5 linked regions of the Neurospora crassa OR74A genome follow. The protein of the gene in region 1 interacts with the protein of each later gene in a pairwise test. Links are inferred from orthologs where the notes say so. Each region holds a gene or a part of one and is shown in the gene's direction. Other genes may lie near its edges. The genes, in order: NCU06402, NCU02624, NCU04461, NCU06207 and NCU02693.

Region 1 (4,448 bases):
ACGGCCAGGTCAGGGTTAGAGGTGCAGTTTTGAGGCTCGATTCGTAGGGTAAATCACAACTTCCCAACATATAGAAATTTCTGAGAAATAAAAAGCTGGACGGATACATTACTCTATTCTAACTATCCTCTAGCTCTTTCTTTATTTTCAATTAATTATTGAAATACGTTGTGGGCGTTCACTGTTTTGGTATCGTTTATCTGATTTGCACCTCTAACCCTGGTGGCCGTTTTAGTGGTGTGGCCGTGTTATTCGTGAGCACCCACTTAGGTGGGTGCGAGTTTGCGAGTCCCAAAAAAGTGGGGGCGTAGTACGGGTACCGGATGTGAAGATTGCCGAGATGGTCGGTTCTTGTTCAAGGCTTTGGGCTGTCACTGTCAAACCCGGAAATGTGGGATGAGGTGGGGATGTTTCTTTGGGCTTGACAAGCGGGGCGGGCGGGCGTCCGAAACCCACCGAGTGATGATCGATGACAGGATTGGTAAGGCGGGGATGGGAGCCGACTGACTTGCAACTTGGTTCGGCTGCGATCCGGCCAAAGGAGAAATGCGTGGTAAGATGAGGACAGTTGAGCCTCATCAATGAATGACCTGATGAGTTGATGACCTATTGTCGGCAAGATGTACACGTGTAGTTGCCGAGGAGAGGTGCGACAGAATATTGTAGTCAGACACAACCAAATGAAGGTCGAATCGAAGCTCAAATGTCAGCCTATGATGTCCAAGGATGGATTGAAGATGCCAAGCCCAACTTTCAAAGGCGGTGACAAACTGCCGATGCCAAAAGCCTCAAGTGGTCAACCACGGCATTGAAGTCAGGGACACAACTCGTAGTTTGGCAATGTTCTCTGAGCCATTACGGAATACCAGATGTTTTGCAAACATACCAGTCTGTGAAAGCATCCACGAACGAGCTTTGGGGAAAAAAGTGACGATCCCATTAAAACGTAGCGTAGCTGCTCCGCCCGCTGTCGCCGCTCAGGTACGTACCGTATGGAAATTACCGATGCCAACTGTGCCAGTTCGCCGTCAGTGGCTCAACGTGCCAATCCAACTGGTCCATCACGCCAACCCCCCTGGCGACCTGATTTGCCTGGGTGGTGCATGGCAGGATGGCAACGAACCAGCCGAAGAAGAGGTGGGATCACGGTGTGGATGCAATCGTTCCATATCACTGGCAAACTCCGGGCAATTCGAGGTTCTCGATGGGAGATTCCATGTCAAAGGGATGGAGATGTGTGTTGTATGGTAAACTACAGTAGCCTTTTGTTGTCAGTCAGCCGACCTCTACTAGTGTACCAACCGCAGTGGTGAGGCACGGTAAGTAGTGTACAGGTATGTATGAAAAAGTTATGGTTGAGATCAATACCACACACATGCCGCCGTATCTCCGCGTAGATCACTTCAACTTCCATTCCTTATCTGATGGAACTTCGCCCTCAGTTTCCCACCTCGCGGTGACGTGGTCAGTGCCTGTCACCCAAGGAACTCAAAAGATAGGAGCCCAAGGAGGAACAATGGCACATCTCAATGCACGGCAGAGCATGGTGTTGGGATTTCATTGCTTGGCGGGCTCTCAGTTTCATTGAGCACTCGCTGAGAGTCGCCGTCCGGTCATTCGAACTTGGTGAAACAACATCCAAGAGTGGGTCCGGAAGGCGGAAACAACAGCTTCGCAGTGGGCCGATTCTGGGGTCATTCCCGCCATTGGTCAACCCAACACGTCTCTCAGGGGCTCCCGCCAAAGGACACCAAAGGCAAAAGGACTTTAAAAAATCCAGCAACCCCTAAACTTGTCAGTCGCCTTTCCCTAGCATCCCACTTGCAAGAGGACGCGGTCGATTGTTTCTTTTTCTTGCCCCGGTTTCCTCCACGCGCATAGTATCTTCTTTCCTCGCTACAGGTCCCTCCTCGCGTTCCAACACCCAGCAACACCTAATTGGAGGCGCCTATTCTCTATTCGCCCACCATGGCTTCGGCAGTCCTGTACGTTCTTGTTTACCATCGTGCGCCTGTCAACCGTGCCCAGATCGAAAGCTGACTCGTATCGTCCCGTCATCTAGTAATGCGACCGTCGCTGGCCTGAGCTCGACAGACACGTACTTCACCGTCTTGGAGGAGGTTTCCAAGTACAATGTTCAGCTGAGCTACCCCGAGAAGCTCTGGGCGGTACGCGGCCCCTGCAACCCAACCCCGAAACGCCGGGACGAGACACGAACAAGGATAGCTAACGTTGGACGATAGGCGTGGTATCTGTGGATGCAGAACGACGTTCTCGCGACCGGTCTCATGAGCTTCTTCATGCACGAGATCGTCTACTTCGGCAGGTCGCTCCCGTGGATGATCATCGATGCTCTCCCCATGTTCAACAAGTACAAGATTCAAAAAGTTAGTGCCCAGCCAAGCATGACCTGAGACTCAAAAAGCAAAAGAAACTAACAACCACATAGGAAAAACGCCCCACCTGGAGGGAACAGTTCGAGTGCGCCGGTCTCGTTCTCCTCAGCCACTGCACCGTCGAACTCCCTCAGATCTGGCTCTTCCACCCCATCGCCACCTACTTTGGTCTCGACTATGGCGTGCCCTTCCCTCCTCTTTGGAAGATGGCCCTTCACATCTGCATCTTCTTCGTCATGGAGGATGCTTGGCACTATTGGAACCACCGCGCGCTTCACTACGGCCCTCTCTACAAGGCCATCCACAAGATTCACCACACGTACAGCGCGCCCTTTGGTCTCACCGCCGAGTACGCCTCCCCCATTGAGGTTATGCTCCTCGGTATTGGTACTGTAGGATCCCCCATCCTCTGGGTTTCCATCACCAAGGACCTCCATCTCGCCACCATGTATGTCTGGATTGTCCTCCGTCTCTTCCAGGCCATCGACGCCCATTCCGGCTATGACTTCCCCTTCAGCTTGCGCCACTTCCTCCCCTTCTGGTGCGGTGCTGAGCACCACGATCTCCACCACGAGCGCTTCATCGGCAACTATGCCTCCAGCTTCCGCTGGTGGGATTACTGCCTCGACACCGAGGCCGGTGAGGAAGCTGCCAAGGCTCGCCGTGACAAGAAGCTTGCGGCCATCAAGGCCAAGAAGGCCCAGTAAATGGGTGGAGTTTATGGATCCGCTGTTATGATACCGTTCACGGTATTCGTACTGTTGTCTTCCAAGGTCTTCTATTCGACCTCACTAATTTTGGACAACGCATCACCAAACAACGGGGAAGAAGGAAGGGAAGAACCACCTAACGATGGGAATTGGTCCATGAGACAAATCAGGGAAATAAGGATTCGATAAAGGCCAGAAACGGGTTGGTTTATTTTGGCTGAAAGATAAGAAGAGAGGTGCGGTTTTGGTCGAACACGGACCAACCGATGCACACCTCCATGCAAAAAAGGCGTTTGGAAGAGGAAGAGAGTTGCGTCGCACCTTTCTTGCCGTACGCACGCGGTGGTGCAGTTGGGGAGGGGGGCATTTTCCTTCTCGCTTCTATTAATTCTTGTACATAGCTGATTCCTTCTTTCGGCGTCCTCCTCGGCAAAGCACCACCCCGTGCCCAGCCCTCTACCCCTTCCATACAAAGCCCTTTTGATAATCTAGTAATGAGAGGATCATGAAAGTAAAATACATAACCTAGATACACTTACATACACCCTTGATGACTCCTGAGTGAAGCTTCTGTCAATTACTTCACTTCTTAAGGTGCGTAGGCGTGCAGCAATCACCAGACGAAGCCACGGCCCGGTCGGTCAAGTTGGGCATGGCGCAGCTGGCGCCAGCTTCCGGCTCAGTCTCGCCAAAGTCTTTGGCCAAGGAGTCGCAGATAGTAGCTAGTTCAATGTCCAGGGATGAGAGACCTTTGGGGACGTGAGTCGTCCAGCGAATGAAGGTTGTGTTGAAGACCTAGGCAGGGGCGGTGAGATTAGAGAGGAAGATAAGAGGGAGAGGATATGTGGCAAAAGAGAGCATGTAGAGGAGAGAGAGAGGATGTGGCTTACATTGGACCATTCGGGATGGTGGTTCTTGAGCTTGCATTGCAGGGAGACGGCAGTCATAAAGTCCTAATTGGGAGGCGTCGAGATTAGGATCTTGGTTATAACTCGGAATTATCTGAGTCTCTGGGTGTGTAACACAGTCTTGCATGCCCTATGAGACACGCTCGGTATATTGTAGCCACGCAAATCGTGAGTAATAATGGGGTCGGAGCTGTGTGCAACAAGGAGAAAACGAAGAAAAGAGCAATCATATATGGGAGGGGGGGGGGTGCATAGTAAAGATAAAGCAAGAGCCCGAATTTCAAAACCCATCCAAGAGTCCAAATCGGACGAGAATAAGCACTTCAGCCAGATAGACATAGTAGAGAGGTAGGTAGGTATATCAGATACCTTATCCGTCATAACTGGCTGGCTGGCTGGCTGGCTGGCGTCGCAGCTCGGTTTCTTTCTTTCAT
Region 2 (4,659 bases), on another chromosome or scaffold:
AGTTAGTGCTGTGGGGTGCAGGTTGCTGGCGGTCATGATGGGCTGGGAGAGTGCGATGGAGAAGGGCAATTGGGTTAATATTGATGGGGGGTATGGGTGGAGGGGGGTTTCTTCGTGATGCGGTGCTGTTATTGCGAGGCCAACGATGGATGGACTCACATCAGATATCAGGGGACTTTTCTTTCGAAAGAAATGACCAAGAACGAGACAACGGGTGATGTATGAACCATAAGCAAGGAACGCCACAGCTTCCGAAGCATCAACATCAACAATCACAACCACAACCACAACCAACAACAACCACAACAACAAACTTGCCAGTCATAGCGCTTATTCTTTGCAGCTTTTCGCATTTTGGACGGCGTTCAACCAGGAGTTACACTTTCATTTTCGGGGTAACAAAAAAGGGGAAGGGGGGAGCATTGATCATTCCGGGATTCTTGGGATAGGGCACTCATGATACCACATAACACGCATTCACTCAAGCTTTTCTCTATTCCTTCGTATGGGTTTTCTTCTTTCGATGTCAGATAGAACATGTCCCGGCTTCCTGTCAGAATCAGCATTGATTTTTTTTTTTTTTTTTTTTTTTTTTTTTTTTTTTTTTTCTGTTTTCTTGCATGTCTGAACCAAGCAAGTCAATGCATTTGGTTGGTTTTGTGTAGAGTGACAAAGGGCTCGGTTGGAAACCTGCCTCATAGTATTGGAAGATACCAAGCCACCTGATTCAGACAACAAATAAATATATTTACTCTATACATACATATTCGAACCGGCAGCAACAGATTTTCGATCATGAGTCTATCAAACCATGGATTCGAATACGTTTGCGTAATCGTTTGATGACGCCATTGCACTACCTCACTATAACAATAGCGAACTCCACGTGTTTCTTTGGTTCCTTTTTTAATATATTTTCATAGGCTAGAAAGATAGTGGTGGTCAGCAAAGGCGAGGGACGACGCAAGATGACTTGCTTGGGCGGGATTGAGACGAGAGCGGGAGTAGCCGCTGTGGCAAAGCACAACCTCGAATGCCAAGAGATGGCTCCGTTGAACTCCAGCTTGACCCCTTTTTTAGTATTTGACCAAGTTTCTTTCAACAAAGCACGGAATGTTAGATACTTTTGCTTGCGAGTTGGGAATTGGTGAGATGTTTGAAAGGGGTGAAGTATGTAGATAGCGGCCATTCAAGTAGTATGCATATTATCATATCTGTTCATCGCTGCCCTGCATCTGCAGTCAGGCATTCATATGTATTCCTTCGTACTCGCCGCGTTCTGAAGACGTTAGGATTTCCATTCAAGCATGACATTACCCTGTCTGCATCCCATTTCCTTTGCAAGACCAAAACAGCATGGCTGAAGAGCTCCAATCGTCTCTTTCCATGGTGGAAACCGTCAGATGCGATTTCCCCCATGGCATGATCTTGGGCTGAGGTTGCCAGTGCGGCAAGGATAGGTTAGTTTGGATGATCTGGAGAGGGTACGTACCGTCCAACCAAAAATCCGAATACGAATGCGTTGCCCCTGCTCTTATGATTGGCTGGGAGACATCAGACTGCCCAACTCCTATTCGCCCGGAGGGAAAGCTGCTCCCGAAAGGTGAGGTGGTCCCTGAGCTTCACCAAGCTGGTGAAAGTGTGCTGCTGTCACCCCAGTTTTACACTACCACTGCACTGCCCTTGGTCCCTAGCTAGGTGGGTAGACCTCCCCTCCCCTATCAGCCTATCGCTAGGATAGGTCGTAGCCAGAGAGGGAAAGGCTACGATAACCGCCAACCATCGACCGACTTTATAAAATCAAGTCGCGTCGCCCATCTTCTCCCCTTTTACCCCCCCTCCTCAGGCTACATTCATTTTCTTGCTTGTTTGCTGCCGGCGTCCACGACTTTGGCTTCGTTCCCCTCCACGCCTTCTCCCCGCCTCCTTCTCCAACCATGGGCATCCTGCAAGTCGTTGCGGGACCGCTGTCCCAGCAGTTTTCCCAGCTGGGGACGGTGTCGCAAATTGGTGTCGCGATCGCCTCCTTTTTGTTTGTTGCCGTCGTCCTCAACGTCCTCCAGCAGTTCCTCTTCAAAAAGCCTAATGAGCCGCCTCTCGTCTTCCACTGGTTTCCTCTCATCGGCAGCACCATTACGTATGGTATGGACCCGCCGCGTTTCTTCAAGGAGAACAGGGAAAAGGTAAATCCTCCAACCGCCTCCTGTTGGGCTACGCGCGAACTTGGCTTGCTAACGATCTCGGCGCTCGAACAGTACGGCGATTGCTTCACCTTCATCCTCCTCGGAAAGAAGACTACTGTCTACGTCGGCCCCAAGGGCAATGACTTTATCTTGAACGGCAAAATTCGCGATGTCAACGCCGAAGAGATTTACACCGTCCTTACTACCCCTGTTTTCGGCAAGGACGTCGTCTACGATTGCCCCAACTCCAAGCTTATGGAGCAGAAGAAGGTTAGCAGAGGCAACAACATATGGAGGTGGTAAAGAGTGTGCTAACATACGGTTTTCACAAGTTCATGAAAATTGCGCTCACCACCGAAGCTTTCCGCCAATATGTCCCCATCATCTCCGATGAGGTTACCAGCTACCTCAAGAGAACCGCCGACTTCAAGGGAAAATCCGGCATCGTCGATATTCCCCCCAAGATGGCGCAGATCACCATCTTCACCGCCTCGCACGCTCTTCAGGGCAAGGAGATTCGCGACAAGTTCGACGAGACGCTTGCCGACCTATACCACGACCTCGACATGGGTTTCTCTCCCATCAACTTCATGCTTCACTGGGCCCCTCTTCCCTGGAACAACCGTCGCGACTACGCCCAGCGTACCGTTGCTAAGATCTACATGGACACCATCAAGGAGCGTCGCGCTCGCGGCGAGACTGGCGCCCAGGACATTATGTGGCACCTGATGAACTCGACCTACAAGGGCGACGTCCCCGTTCCCGACCACGAGATCGCCCACATGATGATCGCCCTCCTCATGGCCGGCCAGCATTCTTCGTCCTCCACCAGCTCGTGGATCATGCTCCGCCTCGCCTCCCGCCCCGACATCATGGAGGATCTCTACAACGAACAAGTCAAGAACCTCGGCGCCGACCTCCCCCCACTCACCTACGAGGACCTCGCCAAGCTGCCCCTGCACGCCGCCATTGTCAAGGAAACCCTCCGCCTCCACGCCCCTATCCATTCCATCATGCGCGCCGTCAAGACGCCCATGCCCGTCCCCGGTACCAAGTACGTTATTCCGACCGATCACGTCCTCCTCGCCGCCCCTGGTGTCTCCGCCACGGACGAGTCCTACTTCCCCCAGCCCGACCTTTGGGAGCCCCACCGCTGGGAGAAGGACTCGCCCCTCGCGCCCACAATTGTTCGCAACGTCCCTAGCGAGGAGGACGATGAGAAAATCGATTACGGCTACGGTCTCGTCAGCAAGGGCGCCAACTCCCCTTATCTGCCCTTCGGCGCCGGTCGTCACCGCTGCATTGGCGAGCAGTTCGCCAATGTGCAGCTGCAGACTATCCTTGCTATTATTGTTCGTAACTTCAAATTCAGGAACGTGGATGGTAGCGATAAGGTTATTGGTACCGACTACGCTTCGCTTTTCTCGAGGCCCCTTGAGCCGGCGAAGATTTACTGGGAGAGGAGGGAGGGTTGCCAGTTGTAAAGACACTGATGTGGTGGTGAGGAAGGGTGTGGATGCTTAGATGGGCGTTCTTTGGTTTTAGTTGTTATAATTATGGAACTGGGTCTACGGCATATAATGACGTGATTGATCAATCATGAAAAAGAGTGTTCTTGGAGACAGGATAGAATAGAGCTCGATGGACCTTATGGGAGGAGTGTCCCGAGGAAGACTCAGGGGAAAGAAAAGGAAGTTGCATTATAACTAATACCTAATACCAACGAACGAACACGGTGGCCTCACTGTCGAAGAACAGTACATCCATTCTTGATTGTTCTATGCACGTGTTGGTTGTTGTTGTTGGAGGTGTGGTTGTAGTAGCCAAAAGAAGATCTGCGAAAGTCTGAAAGGACAACATCACCAGTTCGCGTTGGTGAGTCAAATAATCCGAGTCGAGTCCGACAACCACCAAACGTGTCCTGCACCGAAATGAGTGAACAGTTGAAGGAAATGAAGGAGCAATATGCATTTCCTCTTCGGTGACTCGTTATGCTGTTCTCGATCATGACACAACTTTGCCTGACCGAATGGCTATGGGTACGTAGTTCATTCACTCGCCGCGGGTTGTCCATGGGGGCTATTAAGATCTAGGCATTTCCCAAAAAAAAAAAAAAAAAAAAAAAAAAGGGGGGGGGGGGGAGGGGGGAGGGGGGCTTGACGTAGTTATAAATCCTAAGCGAATCAACAGCCATAACTTCTAGGGAGTTGAAGGGGGTTTGCTACGAGAAGAGCTTATGTAGTGAGGAATTTGCTGGTTTACTCGGTCCCAGCCAACTGGTGGAAAATAGAAGGCCGGATCGAAGCGATATGGAAGTATAAGATAGAGGATGCTTGAACGCAGCCAAGACGGTTCCGAGGATTGCTGATGCCCACAGCACACAGCTCATGAGGCCGGCGAGGAGGTGATGGTTGTTAGAGATGCTCGGAGGATGGTGGAGGTATGGCTGGAAGATCACTGCACTGCACTGAAACGT
Region 3 (3,905 bases), about 650 kb from region 1:
GTCCGAAGGGTGGATGTAACGCAGGCCAATGGGATGTGTCTTTTGGCTAGAGCCATCATGCCACAAGTCCATGCTCCTTCCCAGCTTCACGTGAGAAACATGGTAGCTAGAAGCTGCGATATGCGCTTACTGCTTCTTGGCTTCACGAGCGGCCTTGCGGAGAGCGCGGTTGCGGATGTCGATGTGCATGTTCTTGTTCAGCCTGAGGGTAAAGTAGCTGTAGGCACCGACAGTGTTCTCAACAACCCACTTGAACACAGCATGGCTCCACCAGGGGGTGTAGGTGTTAGGAAAGGGCTCGGAGCTGTTGAGGCCAACCTTGCCGAGAGCAGCGCGGACGAACTGCTTGGGGTTGGGGATGAGGAGGCTGGTGCGGCGGATCTTGCTCATGGCAGTGGTAACGAGGTAGCTGACAACAAGGTGGACATCGACGCCCTGGTCCTTGAGCTCGGCAGAGAGAGCGCTGCTCCAGTGCTGGAGGAACGCCTTGCTGCCGCTGTAGGTGGCAAGGTAGGGGGTGGGCATAACACCGGCGAAAGAGCCCATGGTAAGGATAAGACCCTTCTTGCGCTGGGCGAGGATGGGAGCGACAACCTTGGTGGTCTTGAGTGTGCCGAGGCAGTTGATGGTGACAATGTTCTGGAGCTCGTCGCGGTCGGTCTGGAGGAAAGGAACGGGGATGCTGTGGGACTGGCCAACGTTGTTGATCAAGATACCAATGTCGAGGCCCTTGATGAGCTCGGCGAGACGCTCGTAGTCGGAATCGTCGTCCTTGGAGAAGTCCATGGCGAAAGTCTTGGCCTTGAAACCATCCCATCTGAGCTCGAGCTCCCTAGCAAGGACGTCCAGCTTGGACTGAGTGCGAGAGACGAGAACGAGGTTGAAGCCCTTGGAGGCGAGCTGCTGGGCGAACTCCTTTCCGAGACCATCGGAGGCACCAGTGATAACAGCCCAGGTGCCCTTCTTGCCATACTTGCGGAGCTGTCAAGGTTGATGTTAGCCACATTCACCTGACAATCTTCAGTCCCAAGTAAGTTTGCGAAGAGACGTACGTTGGTGCCGCTCAGGATGAAAGCGTTAAGGAGCAGCTGGAGGAAAGCGCCGACGCGAGTAGCGACGTAAAGGGCGCCGATGCCAGCAAGGGCCCATTGGCCATATTGAGGGACAGTGCCCCAGATCTCGGCAACCTTATCCATTGCGTACGGACTGTCGGCGAAAGTCGTTGATGAAGGAACGCCTTTGGTTTGAATCGGGGAGTTGTGACACTTTCAAAGTTGGGTCCGGTCGCAAATAATTGTTGGGAACTTTTTGGAGGACCTGGGGTCGACTCGCCTACTATGTACACTTGCATGTGTCAGCCGCCAAGATTTTCGAGACGTCCCGCCCCGCGGCCCCGGCGAGAGGACCTGGGCAGCTGGGTTGTCCCCGCTTTTGCCGAACCATCACTCACTCGACGCCGCCATTGAACTCCGACGGAGCTGGCCATGGGCCAATGGATAGAGGAGAAGGGGGAGCCTGGCGGATTTTGTTTGTTGTCTCCAAAATGTCGTCCAATGCCCGTGGACCTGCGTCCATGATGCTACGATGACCCCTGTCTCTCGCGCTTGAGAGTGGCCCGAAGTGTGGTTTCCATCCGATCCTCGAGCCGCTGGAACAAATGGAGAGCTGCAACAGGAAGGGCAACTAACACCTCAACAACAAAAGGTCTTCTCAATACAAATATCCTGGACTTACGATAGCTTTCTTCCCTGACGACAAACCGCTTCATAACTGTTTGAACCAAATGGACGCTATCAAGGCTTTCCTGCCTTCGGGCGAGAAGGGTCTCCTTCCCTACTACCTCTTCTTTGTAAGTTGACGGTTGCTGGTCCCCCTGACTCTTCACATGGTTTCGCAATTAACACGCCCTTCGTCCAGGTCTCCATCGTAGCTATGGGAAACGCCCTCCAAAACTACACTACTCTCCACTACACGCGACGCCTTTACAACGGCCGTTTCGTCCCCAACCCTTCCCTGCCGCCCGCAAAGGGCAAATTCAGCCCGGAGGACAGCGTGGACGTGCTGAAGCCCGTCTCGCCCTCAGAGGCGGAGAAGAAGGAGGCGGCTGCCAAGGACCAAGTCACGCCGCTGGCGGCCCGCGTCTTCGGTACCTACACCTTTATGGCCGGCATCATCCGCTTCTATGCGAGCTACAACCTCGAGAACGAGTCGTTGTACAAGCTCGGTATCTGGACCCATGTCATCGCCGCCGTGCACTTTACGAGCGAGTTCTTCATCTACAAGACGCTGCGTTTCAGCGGACCTCAGATCTTCCCCTTCTTGGCGGCGTATGGCGGCACGTTGTGGATGGTGTTGCAGTATGGTTACTACGTCCAGTAAAAGACAGGTGCAGCTACCAGCTGGTCTTTGGGAATCAAAGCAGGAAGCAGTACATGGCCCCCAAAAAGGAATGGCGAGTGGACTCGGATCATGACCATAAGAAGCGCGATCGCGTATTAGGTGAAATAAGACTCCGACGATAGGCTTTGTGGAAGATGTACCACTTATTGATACCCTTTTCGGTCAAGAAGCGAAGCAAGCGCATCATACATTTCCACTACTGCAACGACTTGCGATAGAGCTCACCACCGCAGTCTCTGAGTCGCGCAGCCGCTTGCTCCGGAGTGATATCCCTCTGCGGCTCAGCCATTAACTCGTATCCGACCAAGAACTTGCGCACGGTAGCAGACCGAAGAAGTGGAGGGTAGAAATGCATATGGAACCAGCTCGTCTCAGCCTCTTCCTCTGTGCAATCCAACGGCGCCTGATGAATACCCGAGCCTTCTCATACCGTTAGCTCCTTTCTCCCTTTCTCTCTCCTTCGGGCAGTTGCAGAGGGTAGTAGAACTTACTATACGGAAAGTTTGTCTCGAACAAGTTATCATATCTTCTCGTAACCTCCTGCACCGCCTCGGCAAACTGCAGCCTCTCCTCGCTCGTAAGCTCCACCAGCGCGCGCACATGTCTCTTCGCAATGACGAGCACCTCAAACGGCCAGACAGCCCACCAAGGGCAGACGACCAAGAACCCGTCGTTCTGCCAAACCACACGCTCGCCCTTGGCCATCTCCACCTTGACGTAGTCCTCCAGCAGATGCCTCCCCTTGTGCTCACGGTGGTACTTGGTCATCTGCGCCAGCTCCTTGCCCGGCTCCTCGGGCAGCGTGCTCGTCGTCCAGATCTGGCAGTGCGGATGCGGGTTCGAGCAGCCCATGGCCGCGCCCTTGTTCTCAAAGATCTGCATGTACCGCAGCTGCTGCTTTTTCGCGGGCTCGACTTCGCCGTCCGGGTTAGGTGGAATCTCGCTGAGTGAACGCGCGGCGGCGTCCCTGAGCGGATGCGAGGCAGACAGGTGGCTGGCGTAGATGCGCGTCCAGGTCTCGATCACGGGTACGATCTCGGTCGCGCTCATGTCCGCCAAAGTGGTGTCGTGCTTGGCGGAGAAGGTGAGCACGTAGCACCGGCCGGTGGCGGGCTGCGCTTGCAGGAGGAGAGAGGCAATGTCATCGTCGCCGTCACCAGCGGCGTCCTTCCGAGGGTGGTACTCTTGCTGTTCCTCTTTGACGGCGCTGTAGTCGTTGACGAAGGCGAATGTGTTTTTGTAGTGCGGGTTGGAGTCGCCTTGGGCGCGCTTGTTGCCGGGGCAAAGGTAGCACTGGGTTGCAGTTAGAGTGAGTGAGAGTAATATAAAGTCATGAAGGGACGGGGATTACGCACCTGGGGATCATACTCAGGAAGCTTGTTGAGGGCTGGAGCCTCTTGCTGTCCTCTGATTGCAACTCGTCAATTCAAACTAACCCGCTGTATTTCTTTATTTCCGGTGTGGCTATCGAGGACTCACTGCCATGGCCTCTTTGTTCTGTGAGG
Region 4 (4,916 bases), on another chromosome or scaffold:
AGAACATGGAAGAGGCTTTTGGGACCGCTGGATTTGGCTCGTCCACGCCGTTCTGCTGACTATTTCCGTCACGCTTTTTGCGTTGTCTATGTGCACGCTGCAAACCACGACGGGCGCGGGCGCGGGCGCGGCGGCAGCTCAGTGTCAGTGTCAGGGCACCGGGATGGCGGAAGGGGCGAAGGGTGCTGCTGGTGCTTCGAGTTTTGGTAAGGGATTTACGGATGTTGATATTTCCTGGGTTCTTCTTGACAGTTTGTTAATACTGTTTTGTCTGTGGATTTTAGTTCCTCGCTCTTTCTATGAGGGGGAGGAGAAGACGACGACGACAACACCTGCTGCTGTGCTTCCCGTTCCGGTTGTCGACATTCCGGAATCGCAACATGTTGATATGAAGCTTTCGATGGATGATAAGACTTGGGTGGAAGAGGACGAGGAGTGAGGAGTGGGATTGTGTTTCTGTGGGAGGGGAGATGTCTGGATCGACGATGGATCGAAGCTGGATATCAACACGTGGTTAGAGGTTGAATATTTGGGTAACAACAGGGTAACAACAGAGTTTAGCTCAAACGGTGGCTCTTTGTTGAACTTCAAGTTCCGTTTTTTGCATTCACCCCTGAAATAATGTTGCTGCAAGACCCTTGATAGTAATTCACTTGCCCAAAGCCATTTGGCTGATGGAATGGGGTTCCATGTGGTGGTGTACTCTCTGAGAACTCGGTAGGCAATTGTGGTCTTTTGTATGTATTGGAGATCAAGATCTCTAGCTCCATCCAACAACAGTCAGCCAACTCACTCTGGGCGCATCTGATAAAACCAGTGGTGCCCATGCCTTTGTGGAAAATGTTCGAAATCGACCACTGGAGACAAATGGGATCTTCATCACTCTTTTCTTCACCGTTGTTCGTCGCGGATCTTGCATTTGGCAAAAAGCAGATGACAGTTAGCGACTTGAACAGCGGGAGATCTCTTTGATCCCAAGTCTTGGGATTGTGACAAGTTGTACCTGACTTTTAAATGAGGGGCGTTCGAGGAGCCAGGTCAGGTCACCAATGAATCAGTTGTATCCTTTACCAGATAAGATCTTGCTGTGGGGAAGAAAGAGTGGGGACAGGTGGAGGGGTTTCTCACGGCTCCGGATCGTTCCAAAACCACGCCATTTTGGTCGTTCGCATCTTCCTGCTTCCGAGAGTCAAGCGTTCTCCATTGAATCACTTTCGGCTTTCTTGCATTCAGTGACTTGGCTGGGCCATCCAATCACGGAGCTCAATCAAGGTCCCTTGTGCTGTCGAGATCAGCTTCTTGTCAAACGTGCCACCCATCATGCAACGTCGAGGACAAGACGTTGGGTTGACAGCCCATTTTGTTATTGCCAACTTGCGATGTGAGAGCATACAACGCTTTTCTTCGTTTGGCGAGCTATTGTAAAAGCAATTGAAGAACATTTCAGAGAGGCAAGAGGAAGGTACGGTCGAAGAATGCAAAGACGGGTGGATCCATTCGGAATCTCTGACGTTCCCGTCGTTGGTGGAGGAAAGAAAAAAAAGAGGTTCTCGGATGGGTCCGGGCTTCCCTTAGAAGACCTCCCGTCTCACCACCACCACCACTCACGGTGCGGAGATGGCAAGACGAGCGGCCCATTCGGGGCCCAGATTTGATTAGATCTTGGGGCAAAACTGAAAAAAAAAGGGGTTATTGGCGATGATGATGTTGATGGATTGTTCAACAACGAAGCTCATTGTGGGAAGCAAATATTCCGCATTCCTGCTGGCCTGTGACGCTCAAGCTACAAATTACTGCAGATATCTGTTTACTTATCTTCCACCTTCAAGAATGCCTGTCTTCACTCAGAATCCAACCCGTTCGCTTGTCACTGCACCGTTATCGCAGGCGTGCGAGAGAGCTTCTGTTGTCCTTGTTCGGAGCAGCCCACGGATTTACGGGGCCAGCAAGGACAACTACCCTCGTCCCCGGGCCTTGGCACGCTCGACGAAGGTCCGCTTGTTTTCGACGCGACGCTCGTTCGGGAAGCCGATCGTTCAGGGGTGGTTATGACATGAGAAATTGGGCCTGTCACTTTATTGCCAGCGACACATCTTGTATCGGATTCGCGGCACACTCTTTCTTTCCCATTATTCATCGTGTTCTTCTGTTTTCTTTTTAAACCTTCTGCGCCGCGGTCTCTTCCCGGTGTCGGTCCTTCATTCCATCATTCCTTTTGGCTACCCACCAGGACCCACGCCTTTCTCCCCCTTGTTGCTTATCTACAGGCACCCGACACGGTCTTGATCCGGGCCTGGAACACAAAGCTTGCTCGGCTTGCTGTTACTCAACTTGATTATCCCTTCTTTGGCGCGCAAGCCCAACAACCACCGTCAAGATGGACGTGGTCCTCGAGGTCACCGACCAGTTCATGTTCGATTACATGTACGCCTGGCTACTACCAGCACGACCTGCTCTCTATGATTTCCCCGACAAGACCAATGGCACCGCACAAGCTTTCTCGTCCTGGGTGTATGAGCCCGCGACCAAGTTCTTCTCGCTCGAGCCTTCGCAGGCGGCCTACCAGAGTATCTGGACAAGAGACAACATCTACCGTCAGGCTCTATCGCTCTTTTTAATACTATGGTGCGCGCAAACCCCTTTTTTCATGTTCGAGTTGGGCGCAAACACGCTAACCTTGGCTTACACACAGGCTCTTCGGTCTCGTAACCTACTACGTCTTCGCCTCCCTCTCCTACATCTTCGTCTTCGACAAGAAGACTATGGAGCACCCCAAGTTCCTTAAGAACCAGGTCTGGCTCGAGATCAAGCAGACCAACGCCGCCCTGCCCGTCATGGCGTTCTTCACATTCCCCTTCCTGGTTGCCGAAGTGCGCGGTTACTCACTCCTCTACGACACCACGGCCGAGGGTCCTGGTCGCTGGTACGACTTCTTCCAGTTCCCACTCTTCATCATGTTCACCGATTTTGGCATCTACTGGATCCACCGTGGCCTTCACCACCCGCTCGTGTACAAGCACCTGCACAAGCCTCACCACAAGTGGATCATGCCAACTCCCTATGCCAGCCACGCCTTCCACCCCATCGACGGTTTCGCCCAGAGCATCCCCTACCACATTTTCCCCTTTATCTTTCCGCTCCAGAAGATGGCGTACGTCGGCCTTTTCGTGTTTATCAACTTCTGGACCATCATGATCCACGACGGCGAGTACTATGCCAATAACCCCGTGATCAACGGTGCCGCCTGCCACTCGGTTCACCACTTCGCCTTCAACTACAACTACGGCCAGTTCACCACGCTGTGGGACCGCCTCGGCGGCAGCTACAGGGAGCCCGACGGTGACATGTTCGCGAAGGAGAAGAAGATGAGCACAACGACGTGGAAGAAGCAGGTCAACGAGATGGAGAAGATTGTCAAGGAGGTGGAGGGTGAGGATGATCGGCTTTACGAGCCGACCGAGACTAAGAAGTCGAAATAGAGTGAAGTGCGAGAAAAAACGAGGAGGAATAGAAATCTCACCAGTTCTGGTTGATGTCATTTTTTTCTCCCTCAAGGGAAGGAAAAAAAAAAGAAAAAGAAAAAAGGACAAATGGGATTAACGAATCAGCGTCATCCGGCCAAGACCAAGCCACCCGGTCTTATGGTCCTGGATCAGGGACCCGGGTTGAATGGTTGGCTGACACCAAGGATCTGCGACCCTTCATGCGATGTGGGATGGTGGCACGGACGGCGGTCGATGACAACTCAACACACGAACGAGAACGGCGGTACACCACATTGGATACGGATGTATACCATCTGGAAACCCGCCGCGCCGGACCAGCTTAACAAAAGGCAAGAGGGTACTATAATACAGTACCCACCATGAAGGAGGAGTTAGTCTCATAAACCAAATGATGGAATGACTGAATATAGGTAACTGGATTGGGACGGATGGAGCTAATAACAACACATTCAAGAAAAACAAAAACAGTGGTCACTCACTGTTTGTCCATTAGAAGGATTCTAATAACCTACTCGTTGTACATACTTTATATCATTTTATATATACCCGCATCTTTGCACATACGCATCATGTACGGATCTATCTGTTGTCCCTCGAGGCAATGAAACATATGCTGGAAAGGTTGCCGTTCAGATGACCATATATAATGACACAGACAGGCAAAGAACACAAGAAGATAGTTCTCAAAGGATGAGAGCCAGCCTCCGAGTAAACAACACAAACCTAGGCGGTCACTGTCCCCAAGTCATACAACAACCCATCGCTCCACTATGGCACAGGCGACATGTACTTCCAAATTCAGTATCCTGGTAGGTATGACCAGTGTTACTAGCATGTCTTGCTTTCCTGACATCTTCAAGGGAACAAGGCGAGGCATCACATATATGAGTAAACCGAAACGAAATGGCCAAGCCACACAACACAAGACCATAGGTACAACATAAATTAGAAGGCCAAGCAAACGCTAAGATTGCTTCTGAGCTTGGAACGCCCCCGTTGAACCGGAGATAAGCGAAACTGGAGGCCTCCTGTCACTTCCGCTTTGGATAGTATGATCTCAAGTTAGAACCTCGTGCAAAAGAGGAGCAGAACTATAGGGTTCGCTGAGAGTAGATTGGAAATTCGACAGCACGCAGATGTGAGGTAGTGAGGGGGCACTATACAGAAGGGAGTCGACAGGGAAAAGCTAATGGGTATTTGGGGTTCTGCATGGTTGACTAGCTTGAATAGATACTAGATGAGTTGCCCACCATCAAACGCAACAACGTAATAGATGGGGATAAAAAGAAACTAAGAGGCAGAACGAAGCCAGACACCCGCCCCCCACATCGCCCTTTCTGCGCCAAATCTTGCTCGCTTGAGAGAATAGACAAGACCTCCAGAACGAAAAGAAGAAAAAAAAGAGTAAGG
Region 5 (4,353 bases), on another chromosome or scaffold:
TAAACTTTCCTCGGGGATCTGCTGGTGTTTGGCGTCTGGGAGAATATTCTGTGATTGACATGCGCCTAGCGAGTTGACGACATGATAAATCCCTTTCTGATGGCGCAGCAACATGAGGTTTCTTGGCCCTATTGATCAGTGAACTGAGGGTCCTTTGAGTACCGCCTTCCGCCGCATGTTCCTGGCTATTCCCTTGTAAAGAAGAATCCGGTGGTAAGAGCGCTATGTGAGGCTCACCGCTAGCCACCTGTCGCCGCTGCGAGATATGGCTGATGGTGGGGAATGTCGAGTATCCCTCATGCTGACTCTGGATCCGGGCGGCTGTTGGTTGCTGTCCACTCGGGGCCCTCTCTATGACTGGCGACAGAAACTGACTGGAATCACCAGGATGTAGATAGTCCTCTAACAGCCTTGTCGGTGTGCAAAACTGAGACAAAGTCACATTATTGTCTGGCAGTGAATCTTGAACAACGCTTGCAGGAGGTTGCCATGAAACCTGTGAGTATTGGCTAGGCTCATCGTGCCTCATCCGCAAGCTGGGCGATGCTAAATTGTTCGCGGCATCGCGCCACGATAACACCGGTGTTTCGACAAATCCTGCTACTTCAGACGACCGAAGGATCTGATCCGGTTGCGTGGAGGGTCCTAGGGAGCCATTTCCAACGGGCTGAGGCTGCACGGCGGCCTGATGAACTACGACATTTGGTGATATTGTCTTGCTGAACACGGATGTGCGCGTGGTGGGTTCAAAGTTGTTATATGCATTGGCGAGTGCTCTATAGTTGGCATCGTCTTTCGATCTGCTAGGAGCTGTGATATGGACGAGGATTTCGGTCGCGGATTTTTTGTTCATCACACTGCGTCAGGGCACCAGTTTAAGCTGTGGTTGTCGAGTGCCATGGAATGGGCTGGGCTGCGTTGCAATCGAGATATAGAAGTTGGAAGTGTGCTGGATCATGGGTTTATGGGTAAGGGTGAGACGCTGGATGGAAGGCTGTTGCCTGACAGACAGTAAAGTGTTCCAGATTCTTACGAGGTGGAAGTGAAGAGAAACGCCGTTGTGGGAGGACAACGAAAGGGAGCAAATGCGCATTGTTGACTGGCTGCACGACGGGATCTGGCAACAAAAAAAAAATGGAAAACCGCGTGCCCGTCGCATTCAGTTGGGTACCTCTATGTGCAGGCGGGATCGATAGTACTAGGTTCCACCTTTATGGCAAGGTCTCACGATGTTGGAACTTGGAAGATGGGAGAGCACGGGTCCCTGTGCGCCTTCATCCACTCAGGTCCACTGCGAGCCGCACCCCGTCGACCTTGATGGACAACAGGGGTCCTTCATTTTGCCCTTCTGTAGGTTCCGCCCAAAATCCAGCCTCTTAAAAAGGGGTCACGATGTTTTCCACAGGCGTGTCGCCGTGTCGTACCTCACTGGCTGTCAAGAGCTAGGTACAGTAATTTCCCCTGAAAGTGCATGTAATCCGGGCCAGGGGTTTATATGCATCTAGAGGCACATATGCACTAGCAGGCACATGCCAAGTCTTTTTGCTCCCTTAGTATGAAAATTTCAGAGGTTCAGAGAGTGCTAGCTTGCCTATAAAGTCCTAAAAGGCCCTGAAAAAGGTGTTCCAAATAGTGCATATTACACCGAAATGGCCGGCCGTTTCACATACAGGGGCATTCAAGCACTTATGCGATTTCCCATACCAACTAATTGCGGCCGCCAATTTCTACGCATCTAGAGGGCTTTATGCATTATCAGGTGCATGCACTTTGAGGGGAAATTACTGTAAGTGGCGTGCTTGGAGCCGAGACGCGGAGCCAGAGACACAGTGGCATGTCCCTGATAGGTTGCAATTTGTAGCTCAAAATGGCATCCTTGTCCCCCGGCTTCGAAGATATCCTACCCATGATCCCACGTCCCTTGCTCTAGAACTAGACAGTTTCCCAATTGACCCTCCTTCAGTCCATCTTTCCTGCCTTTCTCCCAACGCTCCAATCCATTGCTCTTCCCTTGTCGATACCCCGCATACATCCCACGATGGCCTCAGAAAAGAAGCCGGAGCTTGGCTCCGTCATGGTGATTGGCGGCTGTGGCTTCCTCGGTCACCACGTTGTCCGCGTGCTCCTCCGCGACTACATCTGCTCCGTTTCCGTCATCGACCTACGCTGCACGCGGAACCGGCGACCCGAGTCGGATGGCGTCCAATACTTCGAGGCCGACATCACAGACCCCGCCAGGCTCGAAACCATCTTCAACCAGGTCAAGCCCCAGGTCGTCATCCACACCGCGTCGCCTGCCGCCCAGTCCAACGACAGCGTCTCTCATGCGCTGTTCAAGAAGGTCAACGTCGACGGCACCGCCGCCATCATCAAGGCGTGTCAGCAGACGGGCGTTACCGCCCTCGTCTACACCAGTTCCGCCAGTGTGATGAGTGATAACAAGTCCGACCTCATCAATGCGGACGAACGTTGGCCCGTCATCCGTGGAGCCCAGCAGAGCGAGTACTATTCGGAGACAAAGGTACCCTCCTACTTCCCCTCTCTCCCATATCCCCCAAGAGTGATGCATCCCAAAACTAACCTCCCCCTCCCTCCAGGCCGCCGCCGAAGAACTGGTCCTCCAGGCCAACCGTTCCGCTGCCGCCCCTTCCCTGCTCACCTGCTCCATCCGTCCCTCAGGCATCATGGGCGAAGGCGACACCATGACGCTGTACCACCTAATCAAACTGTACCAGAACGGCAAGACCTCGGTTCAAGTCGGCGACAACGATAACCTCTTCGACTTCACCTACGTCGAGAACGTAGCGCACGGTCACTTGTTGGCCGCCGTCGCCCTCCTCCAAACCTCCAAGCTCAAGATCGCCCCACTAGACCATGAGCGCGTCGATGGCGAGGCCTTCATCATTACCAACGACTCGCCCGTGTACTTTTGGGATTTCTGCCGGGCTGTGTGGAACGCTGCGGGATCTCCCCATGGGACTGAGCACGTGTGGGTTTTGCCGCGCGATGTTGGTATTGTGCTGGGCTTTTTGTCGGAAGTCTTCTTTGGGATCATTCGCAAGCCGCCGACGTTTAATAGGCAGCGCATCATTTATAGCTGCATGACGAGGTACTACGATATTTCCAAGGCTAAGAAGCGGTTGGGATATAAGCCGCTGGTGCCATTGGATGAGGCGGTGAAGAGGTCGGTTAAGTGGACGCTGGAGCAGCAGAAGGGGGAGAAGTTGCAATAGGTATAGCAGGCCTTGAATGTGGAAGGGATAAAGGGTGTGGTGGTGGTGGTGGTGAAAGAAGCAAACATCGACGGAAGGCATGATAACTGTATATGAAACATTGGACAAGCGCTGATGAGGCGAAATAAGTCGGGCCTTGCGTGCTGGAACGCGCCGTACTATCTGTCCCGCTGTATAATAATATCTAATGACGACATTTGGATGACGGACGACGAGGCATGCCTCTCTCAGACATGTTGGCCGGATGAAGGGGTGAGCTGGATATTGATCCACGGACAGATGCTAAACATGTCACGCGAAGCTACGAAACTCCTTCAACAAAGCCCAGACTGAACAGTATGATGCCGGTGCGTGTACGTAGTTTCTAGATTAGGTCTGTTACCGGTCCATAAGTGACTAACAGAAGCATTCCGATCTTGATCGCTCGCTAAACTTAATTCTCTTGCTAATCCCATACACCATGATACCCTAACGCCATGCTATCCCCTTCGTAGGCCACTTCAATTCCTTCATATGTCTTAGGAAATGTCAAGTTCAGCGCTTGGCTCCTTTCCTGCCTGTCGTCCTCTCGATCTTATCTCTTCCAGGCGTGTACGGCGCTGCAATACCAACCAATCTCTGCGATTGTTCATTTCGTCCTAGTGTTGGAAATTGTCCTTGTCCTTGCCCTTGCCCTTGTCCCTGTCCCAATGTCTCCCCTGGTGACTGCTGCGCTTCTGTTCCAGCCGTGGTCGCCATCGTTGTCGTTGGTGGCGTAGAGGTCCGGTCTGTTGTTGCCGTGGTATCTCCCATGGCATAACCACTTCCATTACCAACGCTAACAACGCCCCCTCCTGGTGCTGCTCCTGCTGCCGCCGCCGCTGTCCCTCTGAATTCATATACTCCCCCGACACTAAGAACCGCAGGTACCCCCAGCGTAGGCGCCGTCAATTGCTCGCGGTGCAGCTTATCAAGCGACTCGCCTACGATGGCGTACTGGGCCCAGTTGATGGGCGGACAGCGGACAACCGTTTGCGGCTTGGGAAGGGAGCGCCAGGTTTTGGAGAGGCCCTGTGGCGGTTTTGTTGTTGTTGTTGTTGTTGTTGTCTTGCTGACGCGGTCTTTCCTCTTTGGTACATTG

Evidence for each region.
Region 2: the proteins of NCU06402 (region 1) and NCU02624 interact in binary tests that used the Saccharomyces cerevisiae proteins (3 or more experiments, as listed by UniProt). The link is inferred for Neurospora crassa OR74A from reciprocal best matches to the Saccharomyces cerevisiae genes ERG25 and ERG11.
Region 3: the proteins of NCU06402 (region 1) and NCU04461 interact in binary tests that used the Saccharomyces cerevisiae proteins (3 or more experiments, as listed by UniProt). The link is inferred for Neurospora crassa OR74A from reciprocal best matches to the Saccharomyces cerevisiae genes ERG25 and ERG28.
Region 4: the proteins of NCU06402 (region 1) and NCU06207 interact in binary tests that used the Saccharomyces cerevisiae proteins (3 or more experiments, as listed by UniProt). The link is inferred for Neurospora crassa OR74A from reciprocal best matches to the Saccharomyces cerevisiae genes ERG25 and ERG3.
Region 5: the proteins of NCU06402 (region 1) and NCU02693 interact in a two-hybrid assay, tested with the Saccharomyces cerevisiae proteins (2 studies listed by BioGRID, with this or other methods). The link is inferred for Neurospora crassa OR74A from reciprocal best matches to the Saccharomyces cerevisiae genes ERG25 and ERG26.

What each region holds. Positions count from the first base shown.
Region 1 is NC_026504.1:2,629,572-2,634,019, forward strand, and holds NCU06402 (C-4 methylsterol oxidase), read left to right. Parts: upstream 1-1,724; 5' UTR 1,725-1,968; coding exon 1,969-1,985; intron 1,986-2,062; coding exon 2,063-2,168; exon of another isoform or gene 2,169-2,243; coding exon 2,244-2,387; intron 2,388-2,449; coding exon 2,450-3,103; 3' UTR 3,104-3,672; downstream 3,673-4,448. Other genes in the region: NCU06401 (hypothetical protein), read right to left, coding at 3,689-3,901, 3,997-4,059.
Region 2 is NC_026501.1:2,956,500-2,961,158, reverse strand, and holds NCU02624 (cytochrome P450 51), read left to right. Parts: upstream 1-1,669; 5' UTR 1,670-1,937; coding exon 1,938-2,183; intron 2,184-2,255; coding exon 2,256-2,453; intron 2,454-2,515; coding exon 2,516-3,667; 3' UTR 3,668-4,288; downstream 4,289-4,659. Other genes in the region: NCU02625 (hypothetical protein), read left to right, coding at 1-118. UniProt on the Saccharomyces cerevisiae protein: Sterol 14alpha-demethylase that plays a critical role in the third module of ergosterol biosynthesis pathway, being ergosterol the major sterol component in fungal membranes that participates in a variety of functions.
Region 3 is NC_026504.1:3,279,147-3,283,051, forward strand, and holds NCU04461 (transmembrane domain-containing protein), read left to right. Parts: upstream 1-1,456; 5' UTR 1,457-1,783; coding exon 1,784-1,849; intron 1,850-1,917; coding exon 1,918-2,379; 3' UTR 2,380-2,596; coding exon of another isoform or gene 2,597-2,820; 3' UTR 2,821-2,891; downstream 2,892-3,905. Other genes in the region: NCU04462 (3-ketoacyl-CoA reductase), read right to left, coding at 127-981, 1,053-1,196; NCU04460 (galactose-1-phosphate uridylyltransferase), read right to left, coding at 2,597-2,820, 2,892-3,693, 3,756-3,807, 3,880-3,905. UniProt on the Saccharomyces cerevisiae protein: Part of the third module of ergosterol biosynthesis pathway that includes the late steps of the pathway.
Region 4 is NC_026503.1:1,911,616-1,916,531, forward strand, and holds NCU06207 (C-5 sterol desaturase), read left to right. Parts: upstream 1-1,649; 5' UTR 1,650-2,377; coding exon 2,378-2,625; intron 2,626-2,692; coding exon 2,693-3,479; 3' UTR 3,480-4,547; downstream 4,548-4,916. Other genes in the region: NCU06206 (hypothetical protein), read left to right, coding at 1-439. UniProt on the Saccharomyces cerevisiae protein: C-5 sterol desaturase; part of the third module of ergosterol biosynthesis pathway that includes the late steps of the pathway. ERG3 catalyzes the introduction of a C-5 double bond in the B ring to produce 5-dehydroepisterol.
Region 5 is NC_026501.1:3,224,215-3,228,567, reverse strand, and holds NCU02693 (C-3 sterol dehydrogenase/C-4 decarboxylase), read left to right. Parts: upstream 1-1,838; 5' UTR 1,839-2,038; coding exon 2,039-2,521; intron 2,522-2,597; coding exon 2,598-3,233; 3' UTR 3,234-3,661; downstream 3,662-4,353. Other genes in the region: NCU02694 (hypothetical protein), read right to left, coding at 1-853; NCU02692 (hypothetical protein), read right to left, coding at 3,768-4,353. UniProt on the Saccharomyces cerevisiae protein: Sterol-4-alpha-carboxylate 3-dehydrogenase; part of the third module of ergosterol biosynthesis pathway that includes the late steps of the pathway.